Lonchura striata: one gene and its partner. The protein of the gene in region 1 interacts with the protein of each later gene in a pairwise test. Links are inferred from orthologs where the notes say so. Each region holds a gene or a part of one and is shown in the gene's direction. Other genes may lie near its edges.

Region 1 (7,073 bases):
GATGAGAGAATTGGTTTAGGTGTAATTTACATAGAGCTCCCCTACATCTTCACAGTACATGTTTCTTTGGGAGGCTGTGTCAAGCCAGTCTGATGAGAAGAGCAGCATAGACAGAGCCAGCTTCTCAGTGTTTACTGGGACACAAGAGTTGTCCCACTTTACCTACACTGATAACAGTTTAAGTGACCCAGTCACCACTTGTGTTAATGGAAAAGTGTCTGTGTTGTTATAGCTATTCAAGACAAGAAGATACCTAAGTTAGTATCAGATAGCCTCATACTGGGACAAGTGTATCAGCACTAGAGTTTTACCCGGTGTAACTGAAGTTTAAGATGGCATTTAAATAAAAATAGCTGCTATGACTACAGCAATTACCTAAATTAAAAAACAGAAACAAAAATAAAACCAAAACCAAAATCCTGAAACAAATTAAAAACAACAACAACAACAAAAAACCACAACCCAAAAAGATATATAAAAATCACACTTTCAATTGCAATTTTGCTCATAAACTGTGTGCAGGGTAGACCTGGAAGGTTAAGGAAAAGTTCCCCTAGGAGACAGTAGTTTATGCATCTTACCCAGTCAGAGCTGGGCACCAGGGAACTGCCTATCTGTGCCCCCAGGCTGCAGCTCCAGTGCCTTCTCCTGTGCCCTCAGCAGTGCTTGCAGCCCAGGGGCTTCTCTGTGGACCCTTCATCATCCAGACCCAAGCTGCATCCTCTGTGGTACAAAAACCCTTAAAAAAATCTTCTGGAGCTAATAGCCTTTAATATGATGTTGCAGCTTTTGCAGCTTTATCTGAGCATAGGAGGAGAGGCTATTTTTTCCCCTGACTTTGATCATTCCCAGATAATCTGTAAAGCTGAACACTGATTGCGTCTCTTGCTTATTTCTGGAGAGAAATGAGCCTTGTGCAGCTTTCTGGCATCCCTAGCTTTGTATTTATCAGTAAGTGCTGCCACGGGCACAGACTGGCTATATCCATGTTGCACATTGCTTGATCCTAGACTCCCATCTGGTGCCCCTGTGGCCCCAAGACATTGGTATTAATGCAGAGATGTTTCCTTTTTTTTTTTTTTTCTTCCAAACCTATGCTGCCTGAGCACATATAAAGCTGTGCAGCAGCCCACAGGAATGGTGTTTTATTGCATGAAATAGGCTATGGATTGTATGACGTTGGGTGATAAATGAAGTTTATGGCTGAAAAACCTCCTGTGACAGAGCTGGCAGACTGTGTAGGGTGAAGGAAATGGGAAGCACTGCAGTCCCAACTCTGCTGCTTGCTGGGGACAATCCCTCCTGTATGGCACCCATAGGCTGTGCTCAGGCTACATGGCATTGGCCTTGCAGCGCACTTAAAATTAATCAGCACGGATGATCACCAATCCAGCTGGTTCCCTGGATGTCTGTCAGTACAATCAGAGCCACTGAGGTTTCCTGGTGCTTGTTTAAACACCAGGGATGAAGCCTGGATGTGCAGCAAAAGGTGCCTCCAGTGTGCCAACCATCCATGCTCTCAACGACAGGGAGGGAAGGCCTGGGGCGCTTGCCAGGTGAGCCATGGCCAAGGAGTGTGGTTATGCCATTCCCCAGTTCCATCATGTCCTGTCTGGTGTGCTCCAAGGCAGGCTGTCCCTGCCCTGGGCCGGGGCCTCCTCTCTGCCTTCTATTTCCAGCTCTATGTGTGAGGCTGTTCTGCCACCTCTCTGTAGCTGCAGCAGCTTGTTCCTAAACACATTGACAAAGTGGGTTCAGCTTGAAACTGCTCTGCCTGAATTTATAAAAGCCATCCGCCCTTCAGTTTCTCATCATTTTCTTTTACTCTTTGCAGCATAAACAGCTATTCTTTTGTTATGCCTTCTGCTTGTTGGAGCTGCATAAGAAATCTTTCTATAGGCTAGAGAACTCTCTTCCAAATGTTGAAGAAAAACAAGTTTATGTGAATTGTCTAGAGCAGATAATTTCAGTTCTGCACAAAATCTAAAAATAAAGCGAGGCCTACATTCTACAGCTAAGTAGCTTTTAATTAGGTGTGATAACAGCATGAGTTATCTTTTAGAGTGCAATAGTTCCATGATCAGAAGTCAAAAGAGGGGAGCAATGATTGTTTGCAAAAATGATTGAGGGAAGAAATTGAAACTGGCAAGTATCTGGGTTTTTTTCCATATAATAGATCTTTTCAGACTGATAAATATTTTGAGTTAATTTGGACTTTCTCTGTTATTGTCCCTGTTTTAATAGAGCCAGTGGATCCTTTCAAATACTGATGTAAAAGAAGGCAGTGAAAGCCTGCTAATTCCCTGTCATCAGTGGCTTCATGGTAATGCCTTTGGACAAGACAAATGGCACTGCTGTTTCCTAAAAATCAGTGGCTGAGGTACAGGATGGCTTCAATCACTTCTTCAGAATCCCCTCTCCTTATTTTAGCCATACATAAGCTCAGGGCTTGAACATAAATCATATTCTGAATTTTGAGCTGAGGTGCAGCCATGCAGCCATGTCTCCTGTCCCGCCTGCTTTGCTGGGAGGCAGGAGGGTTCATGTCCTAAACCACTACAGATAAACTAGCCAGTGCCTGGTTTGTCAGGGTTTGTCCTCCTTTGTGCCAGCAAGAGAGATGCTCTCAGTGACTTTACCAGCTAAGATCCTTTATCTTCATTGTCTTTGTAACTGAAGCGTAGCATTTAGTCCAGCGTGGTGTGGGGGAAGAACACAGCTTTATTCAGCAGGAAGACAAACCTTAAAGGAAGGTCCTTTAAGGATAAAAGACAACGTTATGGTGCCACAGGGATTGTACTTGGCACTTCAGATTGCAGACAGATGCAAGCACAGTGTGTTTGAGCACAGGCAGAAATAAGAAAGTTATTGTGTGCCTGGGAAATAAGGATATATCCTGTGACACTGACTGTCCTGCCGTGTGAGCCTGTAACACCAGCCTGACCAGGCAGGCCCTGAGAAAAGGAAGACTTTCCTCAATACTGTACTGAATCCCATCTGCCAAAGGGCCAGGCTGGCACTGTTATGTAGATAATGGACATTTCTTTCCATGTCTCCCTAGACTCCTAGGCTCTCTCTGTCTCATAGCTCTGTGTAAGCTCCTGGTTATTCTCCCGGTGTCTCCAGGCATCACTGCAGGGGCTCCCAGACAGGAGGATGCTGTGTATCATCTGGCTGGCCTCGCAAACCAGGAATCCCTTCATCACCCCCTCCTGAACAGATCCTCATGCATTTGCCCAGAGGACTTCATAAAAATTAATTGAGTTGCCCAGCATTAGACACAGATGATAAAACTCCCATCTGATCTCGTGCCTGCTTGCCGATTTTAACAGCTGATTGAAACAATAAGCGCTAGCTCACCGGGAATGTAACAATGCCCATAGAGAGAGCTGTAGCACGGGCTGTAGGTGCAGATAAGGCTGTAAACGCACAATAAAGATTCCCTGCCGGTACCACAGAGCTCTCTTTGCTACGGGAGTAAAACCCTCGGGCTGCAGTTTAAGCATAGTAAAAGTGATGGAGATTACCCTCCGAGTTACAAGTTTTGTTGAAAAGCAAAATTGTGTCTCTAGTCGAGTATTTATTTATTCGTTTTTCTATTCTCTTGCTCATTGTAGGGTGAAAGAGAAATGAACTCGGAGCCAAGGAGCACTGGAGGGCAGGCAAGCAAGGAGCAGAAAAGCCATACCACGAGCAAGTCCCTTTTCTTCCTGATGCCATCAGAGGCACTATTACACAGACGCTGACCCTAAACATTTCCCTTCTTCCCCCACCTCCCCCCCAAAAAAACCCCAAAAATCAAACATCCCATTCGGAAACCTAATAACAACCACCTACGTGCTTCCAGGGCGCTAACCTGGGAAATAAAAAACATCTGGGGAGCCACAGGCGCGCCCCACAGCCGCGCCGGCGGGCGCTGTCTGTGCGCGGTGCGCCGCGCTGCCGGCGCGTCTCCGCGGGCGCGGGCGGAGCGCGGGGCGCGGGGCGCGGGGCGCGGGCGGGCCCGCAGGGGGCGCTGCGGGGCGGCGTTGGCCGCTATAAAAGCCGGGCCCGTGCCGGGCCCGCGCCGTCCGCCCGGCGCGGCAGCGGCGGCGCGGCAGCGGCGGCGGCACCGGGGCAGGAGCACCGAGGCGGGTGAGCGCCGCGCGTCCCGCGGGCAGCGCCGGCTCCGCTCCCGCCTCGTGGGTGTGCGCCCCTCCCTGCCCCGCATCGCCCCGGGGCTGCGGTTGCTCCGTGCTCACCGCCCCCGGGGCGCCGGGAACGGGACATGGGCAAAAGCTCCGGGAGATGGGGATAGCTCCTGCGCGGACGGGGCGCGGCGGGGCTGGTGGCTGCTCCTGTACCCCTGGTGCGGGCAGGAGATGGGGGAGCAAGCGCAGCTTGCTTATCAGGGTGGATAATATTTGTGATGAAATCTGTTCAGACAAAAGTTCTAGGGATGCCAATAGCCGGACTGGCTCGAGCGGGCTTCGCTCTCCGTGCGCGGATCGCAATTGCCGGCTGCACGCCAGCAGCGTGCCAGCGGGGCGACAGTGCCGAGGGAAGCAGGGTCCCGGGAGGGCTGGGGACCCCGGGGCACGGCCGAGCCTTCGGCACGGGCCAGCGGAGGGCTCAGGGCAATGCCGGCAGCCCACGGGAGCGCAGGGCTGAAATGCTGCTATTACTCTCAGCCTCGTGCGTGGCATATAACAGCATCACAATATTTTTCCGAAAAATGATGGAAGGTAAAGTAGCTACTACGAATAAAAAGCAGCGTTTTCCTAAGGAGGGAAAGCTAAACGTGGGAAGATAGGGCAGCGAATTCAGGTCTTCCTACTCAAGTAAAATGCCTCTGCTTGAAGAGCTGTTCATCTAGATCGGTCGTTTCCAACTCTGTTTAAATGAGTACGGGTACCCTTTCCCTCTTTGCTTTATCCCCTTCTCTATCTTTGCCCCTGCTTCTTTCTCCCCGGTCCCCATCGCTGCCTCCCGAAGGTAACAGTGCAGAGGAGGCTTGTGTGCCGTCGCACCAGCCCGTACAGGTACCTGTGTTAGGGAGCCAATGATCCCTAACATTGCACTAAACATGAAAAGAATAAGCCTTGACATTTATAGTTGCATTAAAAACTGCAAAGGTAAAAAAATATAAACACCTCTCTGCGGGTCAAGCATTAGAAATATTTGCTTATAAAGCATCGGTAGCAAAATCATTTGCATGTCAAGTGTTTGCATGCAGGTTAACTTTGCAACGGATGACTGCATTAAGGAGGCACTTGGCAGCCGATGAGCTGGATGTAATGTGATGCATAAATGCTTTGTTTTGGTTCGTGTAAATGCTTTGTTTTGGTTCGTGTGTGATTTCATTCAGGGATTGTTTTATGCTCCCTACATCCAGTGCAGTGTTTGTGGGTTTTATTGTTTCTCATCCCCAATTTCAAGCAGGGTTGTAGGCTTTTCTGTATCCCATGCTACATAAACCCTTTACTAGGTCTGCCTGTTTCCAATGCAATTAAATATACCCAGCTACTTGTCTCCTATTTATGCAATCTGTTGTGGAGAGCAGCGCAGCCTGTGCTGCCGGAGAGCGGTAGGAGAGAGCTGCGTGTGTGCAAATGAGGGTTAATGTCTCATTCCATGGTGCCTAGCCTCGCCTTAATTTCTGGAGAATCAGCTCTATTTTAAGGTACAGAAGGGGGATTCTGTAAGCAATTCTTTCAGCGCTACACTGTGAGTTTGGAAATTGCTACCTGGGAACGGGGGGGTGGGGGGAGGGGAGGGATGATCGGATGGGACACAGAGAGAGGAAAATGTTTGTAGGGCTGTGTCCATGTGGTTTATTTGCAGTAGCTTTTAATATGGTACTGTGTTTCTCTGTATATTTGTCACTTTAAGGACAGAGGTGGATATTAGGCTATTGATCTAACAAATGGCAAGTGTAGGGTTCGGTCAGATAAATAGTTTTTCTCTATGGTAGCATTTTCTATCGTGGTACATTTTGTTTTAGTGATAGCAACTGTAACAAGTAGGAAAGCAACTTTAAACTCATAGCCTTACTTTCTGGAGTGTGTATTTTTATGTAAAATACATTTATGTTATAGTAAGCAATATTAGCTATTTAGGAAGATAGGAGAGGTGAGCTAACAGCAGAAGTGCAGCTGTAAAGCACATTAGAGGCTGTGCTGGCAACCTGGTAACCAGTGAGAATCAGTCCTCTCTCCTAAGTTAGGAGAACAAAGATTTTCATCTTGCAGTGTGTGTTCTCTGTTTCTGAAATTCATTCAGGAAGTACCAGAAGTCAGTGTAGGACAGAGTTACAGCCAACTCCACTTACATATGCACTCTCTGGAAAGTCACACAATGGCAGAAAAAGTTAAATAATACAATACAATAGAGACTCATACACAGTAGTTGGTTTAACATTTGATTGAAGGCTCTATAGAAGAAAAGATCTAGGCATAATAATGGATATCTGGGTGAAGATATTTGCTGAAATGCCAGCAGCAAGCAGTGCAAGAGGATCTCTGCTCCTCCTCCTCCCCTGTCCAGATGCTGAGGCTTACTAAAAAGACTATTGAGCCAGCTGATTTAGCAAATGCTTTCACTTGACAAGTACTGCATTTTATCAGAAGTTATTTATAATTATACTGACCTTGTTTAAATGCAACTATTACCAAACCTGCTGCAGTCAGTTTTGTCAAAGAAGTCATAAGCAGCAGAAATTGGAAAGAAAGTAGCAAAGGAGAGCAAAACTTCAGTGTATGGTGGTTTGTTCTTCCCTGAACTTTTTTTACTGCAGACTCAAAACTGATGAAATAGTTTTTCTTTAGGAAAATAATTCAGATGGATTTTTGTACAGCTTTGGCACTATCCTAATATAAGAAGCATCCTTGTGAACTTGGGAATGCTGTTGTTTTCTGTTGCTGGGTATACATTTGATGCTGAATTCTCTGGAAACCTGATTTGGTTGTTGTTCTGCCCTTTGCTATTATATGGTATCATCTTGCTATTCTGGGTTTTCCAGTGGAGAACTGGAAAGAGGATAAGATTCAGTGCTTCATCTAAGGTGACCAGAAAGATCTCCAGAGTTCAACAAA
Region 2 (7,336 bases), about 14 Mb from region 1:
CAGTCCTAAAGAAGCTGAGCTGATTGCAGAGCTGCCCTGCTATGAGTGGGAGGCTGAACTAGAGAGCTCCTGTGGTCTGTTTCAGACTCAGGTGTTCTACAATCATGTGATGCAGCCAGTCACCTGAGGAATTATAAGCTCATTTTACTAATATACAAATTAAGTTTTTCAGTTGCTCTGAATATCTTTTGCTGACTGGTAGAAGGAGTGGATTTAGTAGTCTTAACACTGAAAAGATTCTAAGCAATATGCATAACTAAGGAAAGATTTCCTAACATGAAGAATGAGGAGGGGTTAAGTTTTAAAACTTTTTGATTATTATCGAATGTCTGAGCTGTACAAATTGGAATGGCTCTGAGGAGATTGTATTAAAGTGCAGAAAGGTATGAATGTTACACTGCGCTTCCTAATAAAATCACTCTGAACTGCTGCTATTTTCATCTGAGGTGGTGTAAGGCCAAAAGGCAAGTACGTATCGCAATGCTTTTGTCAGTAGCCTTCTCTTCACATCCCTTTCCCCTCACAAGTCTGAATATGGAGAAGAAGGGTCTGTAAATCAGATGATTTAAGTTCTATTTTCATCCTTAGGTCAGTCCCACCACAAAGAATTTTAGGTCCTACAGAAATAACATACAGAATGTATACAGAATGTATTGAACAGAAACATTGACTTCTCCTTTGCTTCTGTAATGCTTGCCATCCACTCTTCTCTCTGCTTGGCATTTCAACATGAATGTGAAACAGCAGTATATCTCAAAGAAATGCAACTCTATTCCTGTCTTACTGTTTTCTATAGTCATCATGCCAAGTCTACAGAAGTTATCCCCTTTTTCCTCTGAAAACAGAGACGTGATTTGACTTGTGAGTGTTTCATCACTCCATACTGTGAAAGGGAATTTCCTGGGGTTTGTGAGAGGAGTGGATTATTCATTGATTAGTGGATTTAATAGCAGAGCAAATCTATAAATGATAAAGGAAATCACCCAGGTCTTGTAGTTTGCACCCCTCTATATGGCAGCAGAAATTGTCTTGCCTGATAATGGATTAGAACTGTTGCATGCATTTGTTTTTAAACTAGGCTGTGCAATTTTGCTGGTTGAAATGGTGTTGGATAATGAAAAGAAGAACAGGAGCACAGCTCTGCTGCAGTCTTTCAACATGCTTGTGCAGACAGAAGGAAAGGAGAGAAGTGGCTCTGAATATCAAGCTTTGCTGGAACAACATGGATTCACAGATATCAGAATCAGAATAACAGGAAATTTGTTAGATGCCATTCTCTGTGTTAAGACCTAGAAAAAACGTATTAAGCAGTAGTCTGGATGTCTTATGTTTGATGTTTTGTAATTATCCAAATACATTCTCAACTTCCCATCAATACCATAAACAAGAAATGTAACGAGAAATGTCAGCTTTTTGGTGTTACTTCTCAAAAGGGGGAAAGATTGATTACATTTATTTTAGACTTCAGTAGAATGATGCCAGGAGATTCTGTGGCTGCACAACATGTGTAGGACACAAATGGTGTCATCAGCCTAAGGGCAGTATTCACACTGCGAGAAATCACTGTTTCTTCATAGTTGGTGCAAGTAGAATAGTAGAGTTTTTAGACCAGCGCACATTGCTTTGCCCCTGTTCTAGGAGGTTAATGTTGGTATCATTTTAATGCTACATCACCATCCATTTTAGTATCATTTTATATTATACCCTCTACTGTAAATAAACATACTCTAATCAACTCTGGAAACTGCTACTGCAATGGTGTAAGATTGGAAACAAGAACTGGAGCAGCAGCTTCCTGAGAGAGTCAAGATGGACTGCTCTGCTTTGAGAGAGGCTTCCAAAAAAAGGCAGTTATATAAAAAGCACAAGTTTTCCCTGTGATTGTAATTTGAGATTAAATGTGAGGGCACAGAGTTTGTTTCAGGAACATCATCCCACACCGTTTTAGCTCTACTTAATTTTGAGCTCCCAAGCTGAACAGAACATGACAATTACAGACTGAACAAGTTCCCCATTACAAGTTATGTGTCTTTTACCTTCATTTTTCACACTGATGATACTCAAGAGTCTTAGAATGTGAAGTTCTTTTTAAATCAATAGAAAATTTTATGGTGAACAATATCTCAAGTCTTGCAGACAAAGTATTGTCCTAAGAGAGTATTAACATTCAGTTATGGGCTTTTTTTTAAAAAAAAGCCCATAACTATGTGTGCCTCCCTGAATGAATGTACCACAGCATTTCATAAAATTATGTTTAGAATATGGTCTTCTAACACCCTATGTGCAAAACCCTCTGTGAGCACAGGAGTCACTTCAGTCTATTATGCTTCAGAAGAGCACAGTTTACTTTTGATCTTCTGGTATGCAAAAAAAAAAAGTATAGTGACATATCTTGTACTAGAGCAGAGACAAAGACTATGCCTGGCACTTTTTCTTCTCACAACATGCTCTCTTGAGAGACATGCTCTCATTTTGAAATCCTGCAAATTACATATATGTGTAAGCAGTGGTTTCTGGCATCTCAGCTACTGCAGCTTTGTGGTTCACCAGTCGCCTGTTTAAAAAAAAGGTTTGGCCTTATTTACTTTGGTTGGAAACACCCACTAAAAGTGAAAGCAGGTGATGTGTACTAATGCCCTCCAGCTAGAACAATTTCAACACATTTTAGAAAGAATAGGTATAACTTCAGACAGAAGTTTGACAAGTTCAAAATATCAATTTCAGCATACAGTAAAATTAGCAAAGTCACTGATAGAAACCACACCTGTCTTGGTAGGGCCTGAGTGCCTGCCAGGAGTGCTTGCTCTGACAGCCTGCAGAGGAGGTTTTCACAACATCTAACTTCAAGTGCCCATACAAGAAGTTGGAACCACCCTGTCCTATGGTCCCACAGGAAACTGCAGCTAAGTCCTTTGGTATTCCGTTGTCTTGGATCAGTTCAGTGATATACAGAAAAGCCCCATGATGTGACCCTTGGCACTGGCAGTACTAAGGAGGAGGTGGGAACAGAACTTGGGAATAAGGATATGCCATGGATTAGCATTACCCAGAAGGTAGAATGGAGCAAAACTGACAGTGCCTGAAATCTGCTCCCCTCCACCCGAGAGCTGCTGCTGCCCCACAGGGAGCCCATGCAGAAAGCTGTGTCTTCCTTCTAGACGGGCTTCGAGCAATTGCTGCAGAGCCTGCTAGTTCACTAGCTTGTGAATGTGCTGCTCATTGACTACTGCTTGGGCCCACAGACCCACACCCCAAAGCCAGTGCTCCAGCAGCTCACACTCAGCTTCACAGAATCAGAATCACAGAATCAGTTATGTAGGAAAAGAAATCTCAGACCATTAAGTACAATCCCTGACCCAAAACCACATCAGCAGATCATGGCACCAAGTGCCACATCTTTGCTTAGATACACCAAGGGACTTTCACAAGACCACTTCCCTGGACAGTCCATTCTAATGTCTCATCACCCTTTCTGTGAAAAAATTCCTCCTAACGTTCAACCCAACCCTCCCCATGTAAGGCTCGAGGCTGTTTTCCAGGCAGCTAGCTGTCCTGTCGCTGGCTGCGTGGGAAAAGAGGCCGACCCCCACCTGGCTACAGCCTCCTTTTGGTGGTTCTAGAGAGCGGTAAGGTCACCCATGAGCCTCCTTTTCTCCAGGCTAACCAGCCCCAGCTCCCTTAGTCACTTCTCACGGGACTTGTGCTTCACCAGCTTCATTCTCCTTATCTGCATCCACTCCAACACTTCAATGTCTTTCCTGGACTAAAGGGCCCAGAACTGGGCACAGTACTCGAGGAGTGGCTTCACCAGTGCCGAGTGCAGGGGCAGGATTACTGCCCTGGTCCTCTTAGCCAGGATGCCATTGACTTTCCTGGGCACCAGCTGGCTCATTTAACAATGCTGCCACCAGCACCCAGCGTCCCTTTTACGCAGGGCAGTTTCCTAGCCAGTCTGCCACCAGTCTGTAGCCCTGCACGGCGTTGTCGTCACCCAAGTGCATTTGGCATTTGGTCCTGTTGAATGAACCTCATACAGTTAGCGCCCATCGATCGCTCTGCAGAGCCTGCGTGCCGGGCGGTACGGGGGCCCGCTGGGCTGTGCAGGCTGGGCGGGCGCTACCGGCAGCGGCGATGGCGGAGAGCGCTCGGGCCGGCGGCCGCGGCGGGGCCAATGGCGCGGGCAGCGGGCGGGCCGCGGCGGGTGACGCGGCGCTGCGACACTGGCGCCGCAGCGGGGCGGAGCGCGAGGCCGGGCCGCGGGCGGGCCGCGTCCCACCCCCCGTGCGGCTGGCCAATGGGGCGGCGGGGCGTGGCCGGCGCGGCCGGCATTAAGCCCATGCGCGGGGCCGCTCCCGCCCTTTCGGCTTGAGCGGCAGCAGCGCTTCCTTCCCGGCGGCTCCGGCGCGGCGCGAACATGGCGGACCAGGCCATCTCCTTCCTCAAGGACTTTCTGGCGGGCGGCGTCGCCGCCGCCATCAGCAAGACGGCGGTGGCGCCCATCGAGCGGGTCAAGCTCTTGCTCCAGGTCAGCGGTGCGGGCGAGAGAGGGCGGCGCGGGCGGCGCCCGTCGCTGCCCCCGTGGGCGCCGGGCCGGGCGGGGGCCGCGGCCAGCGCCGGACAAAGGGCGCGAGCGAGGCGGCGGCGGCTGGCGGAAGGGTCACGTGAGCGGCCGCGGGGAAGCCGAAGCCGGTCCCGCCATGCGGGGCGGAGAGCGGAGGGAGGGCCGGGCCGAGGGGGGCGGCCGCCGATGGTGTCACTTCCTGCCGCCCCCGCTCCCGGCGCCCGGGGCACGGCAGGGAGGGGAGGGCGGCCGCTCTCCGCCGCCATCTTGGCGGCCTCCACGTGACGCGCGCCCGGGCCGCGATTGGGCGGCGGGCGGGGCGGGGCCGGGGCGCGGCCGGCGCGCGCGGCCCGGCGTGACCCGCGGCGCCCCAAGGTGACTCGAGTGACCTTCGCCGCGCTCCCCCGGCCCCGCGGGCACCTCTGCCGCCCTAACGCGGCTCTCGGGAGACTCCCTCCCCAGGCCCGGCTTCGTCAGTAAAGGCTCTCAGCTCTACGTATGCCCGGCGTATTTGTCGTGGTGTATTTGTCTTATACTTGCCCTTGTACTTCACCGAATCAGTTTGGTAAAGACCTCAGAGAGATCATGAAGCCCAACCTAATGCCACGTAGTCTAATTTAAAGTAGACTGTGGCGCTAAGTGCCTCATCCAGTCTTAAGCACTTCCAGGGATGGTTGCTTCACTAGTCCCTAGGCATTCCGTTCCAAAGTCTAAACACTTCTTATCTGAAGAAATTCCTCCCCTGCTTCCCCCTAAACCTTCCTTGGTACAGCTTGAGGCTGTGTTCTTTTGTCATGTCACTAGTTGCCTGGGAGGAGAGGCTGGCCCCCACCTTGCTACAGTCTCCCTTCAGGTAGTAGAGGAATTGCTCACAGTTTTCTGTTCTTGTTTTGCCAAATTCTGATTTCTGGAAAAGCTTGAAAGCAATTTTTAGTCTTCTTCTTTGTAATACCAACAATGGCCATTCAGAATTAGCAACTTTGTTTTATAGTAAAAGCAGGTTTAAGCCCAGCTGCAGCATAGACCTGTAAAGGCAAGTGATCAATATTTGTATTTTTACTTGCAGGTGCAACATGCAAGCAAACAGATTGCTGCTGATAAGCAGTACAAGGGCATCATCGATTGTGTAGTGCGTATTCCAAAGGAACAAGGAGTGCTGTCTTTTTGGCGAGGAAACTTGGCAAATGTCATCAGATACTTCCCAACTCAAGCTCTTAATTTTGCCTTCAAGGATAAGTATAAGCAGGTGTTTCTGGGAGGTGTAGACAAGCACACTCAGTTCTGGAGGTATTTTGCTGGTAACCTGGCATCTGGTGGTGCAGCTGGAGCCACTTCCCTCTGCTTTGTCTACCCCTTGGATTTTGCAAGAACCCGTTTGGCTGCTGATGTTGGAAAAGCTGGTGCAGACAGAGAATTCTCTGGTCTCGGGGACTGTCTAGTCAAAATCACCAAGTCTGATGGTGTGCGTGGCTTGTACCAAGGGTTCAATGTCTCTGTGCAAGGCATCATCATCTATAGAGCTGCCTACTTTGGGATCTATGATACAGCAAAAGGTAATATTTCAGAGGGGATCTGAAAAACCTGTTTTTAGAATTGCATTCTCTGTTTTTGGATATGTGAAAGTGAAGGGGGATATCAGTGCCACATCCCTGACACTGCTGTATACAAAGGAAAACTTGTACATGTATTAATGGGAGCAGCCTACCTGCAAGTACTGGTTTTGTACTTCAAGCAGTTGCTACTAAGGCCAGGAGAGTATGTTGGTGACCAGACAGAATAAGAATAATTTATTTTTTGTTCAGTGCATACTGAAGTTACGTTGGACCAGTTCAAGTGTGTTAAGCAGAATGGGACTGAGCAGTGCCTTCTGCAAAGTAATTTTTAAGCTTGACATCTGGGGAAATAAGCCATTAGTGCTAGTTTGTAGTGTAATGTTATCCACAGGGACAGTGACTTTAAGTGATGTATTTTTAATAAAAGTGTAGTGAATAGTCAAGTCTTCTCATGCCAGTCTAAAAAGAATGCTTGTGCTTAAAATACTTAAACTGTGATTACTGAGAAGAAAGTCTTCCAAATACAGCTTCAGTATGTTTAAAGTTTGTGAAATGTTATGCTGCAATTTTATTTAGACTATGGGTTTACAGTGTTTCATACTAGTTTATCTAGTAAAATAACTGTCATGCAGAGAGTGCACTAGAGGAGGATGTGCAAGGTAAAAAACTAATTGCCATTTTTGTTTCACTGCAGGCATGCTCCCAGATCCCAGAAACACTCACATTGTTATCAGCTGGATGATCGCCCAGACAGTGACGGCTGTGGCTGGCGTTGTCTCCTATCCTTTCGATACAGTGCGGCGTAGAATGATGATGCAGTCAGGACGCAAAGGAGGTAGGCTCTAAATCCATGGAGCTGTTAATGCTGTTGAAAAAGCTTTAACAAGATTAAGTTCTTTTTTACTAGTAGCCATCCTCAGAGTTAGAGTTTATTGTTCCAAAAATCTGGTTTATTTTATTGTACTCAAATGAGGAAATGCAGTAAGGCTCAACCTGAGATTATCAGGATTTATGCTGAGGACTTTTCATTATGGAATATGAAATTAAAAAATGGACTGCCTGTTTGCACTGTTAGATTAAACAAAGGTATGAAAAAGGAGGCATAATATTTTAGCAAGTATTGTGTTACAAGTTTTAAATTGTGGTTTGGGACATCACAAAGCAGTTAAGTGAAACAGGACAGTTGTTAAAATTACCTGAGATAAAATAGGAATTAAGAATA

The links. The genes of interacting proteins can lie anywhere in the genome.
Region 2: the proteins of MTUS2 (region 1) and SLC25A6 interact in binary tests that used the Homo sapiens proteins (3 or more experiments, as listed by UniProt). The two-hybrid records come from large-scale screens. The link is inferred for Lonchura striata from reciprocal best matches to the Homo sapiens genes MTUS2 and SLC25A6.

Annotation. Positions count from the first base shown.
Region 1 is NC_134604.1:68,699,028-68,706,100, reverse strand, and holds the start of MTUS2 (microtubule-associated tumor suppressor candidate 2), read left to right. Parts: upstream 1-4,065; 5' UTR 4,066-4,134; intron 4,135-7,073. UniProt on the Homo sapiens protein: Binds microtubules. Together with MAPRE1 may target the microtubule depolymerase KIF2C to the plus-end of microtubules. May regulate the dynamics of microtubules at their growing distal tip.
Region 2 is NC_134604.1:83,189,545-83,196,880, forward strand, and holds the start of SLC25A6 (ADP/ATP translocase 3), read left to right. Parts: upstream 1-4,315; 5' UTR 4,316-4,414; coding exon 4,415-4,525; intron 4,526-5,627; coding exon 5,628-6,114; intron 6,115-6,808; coding exon 6,809-6,949; intron 6,950-7,336. UniProt on the Homo sapiens protein: ADP:ATP antiporter that mediates import of ADP into the mitochondrial matrix for ATP synthesis, and export of ATP out to fuel the cell.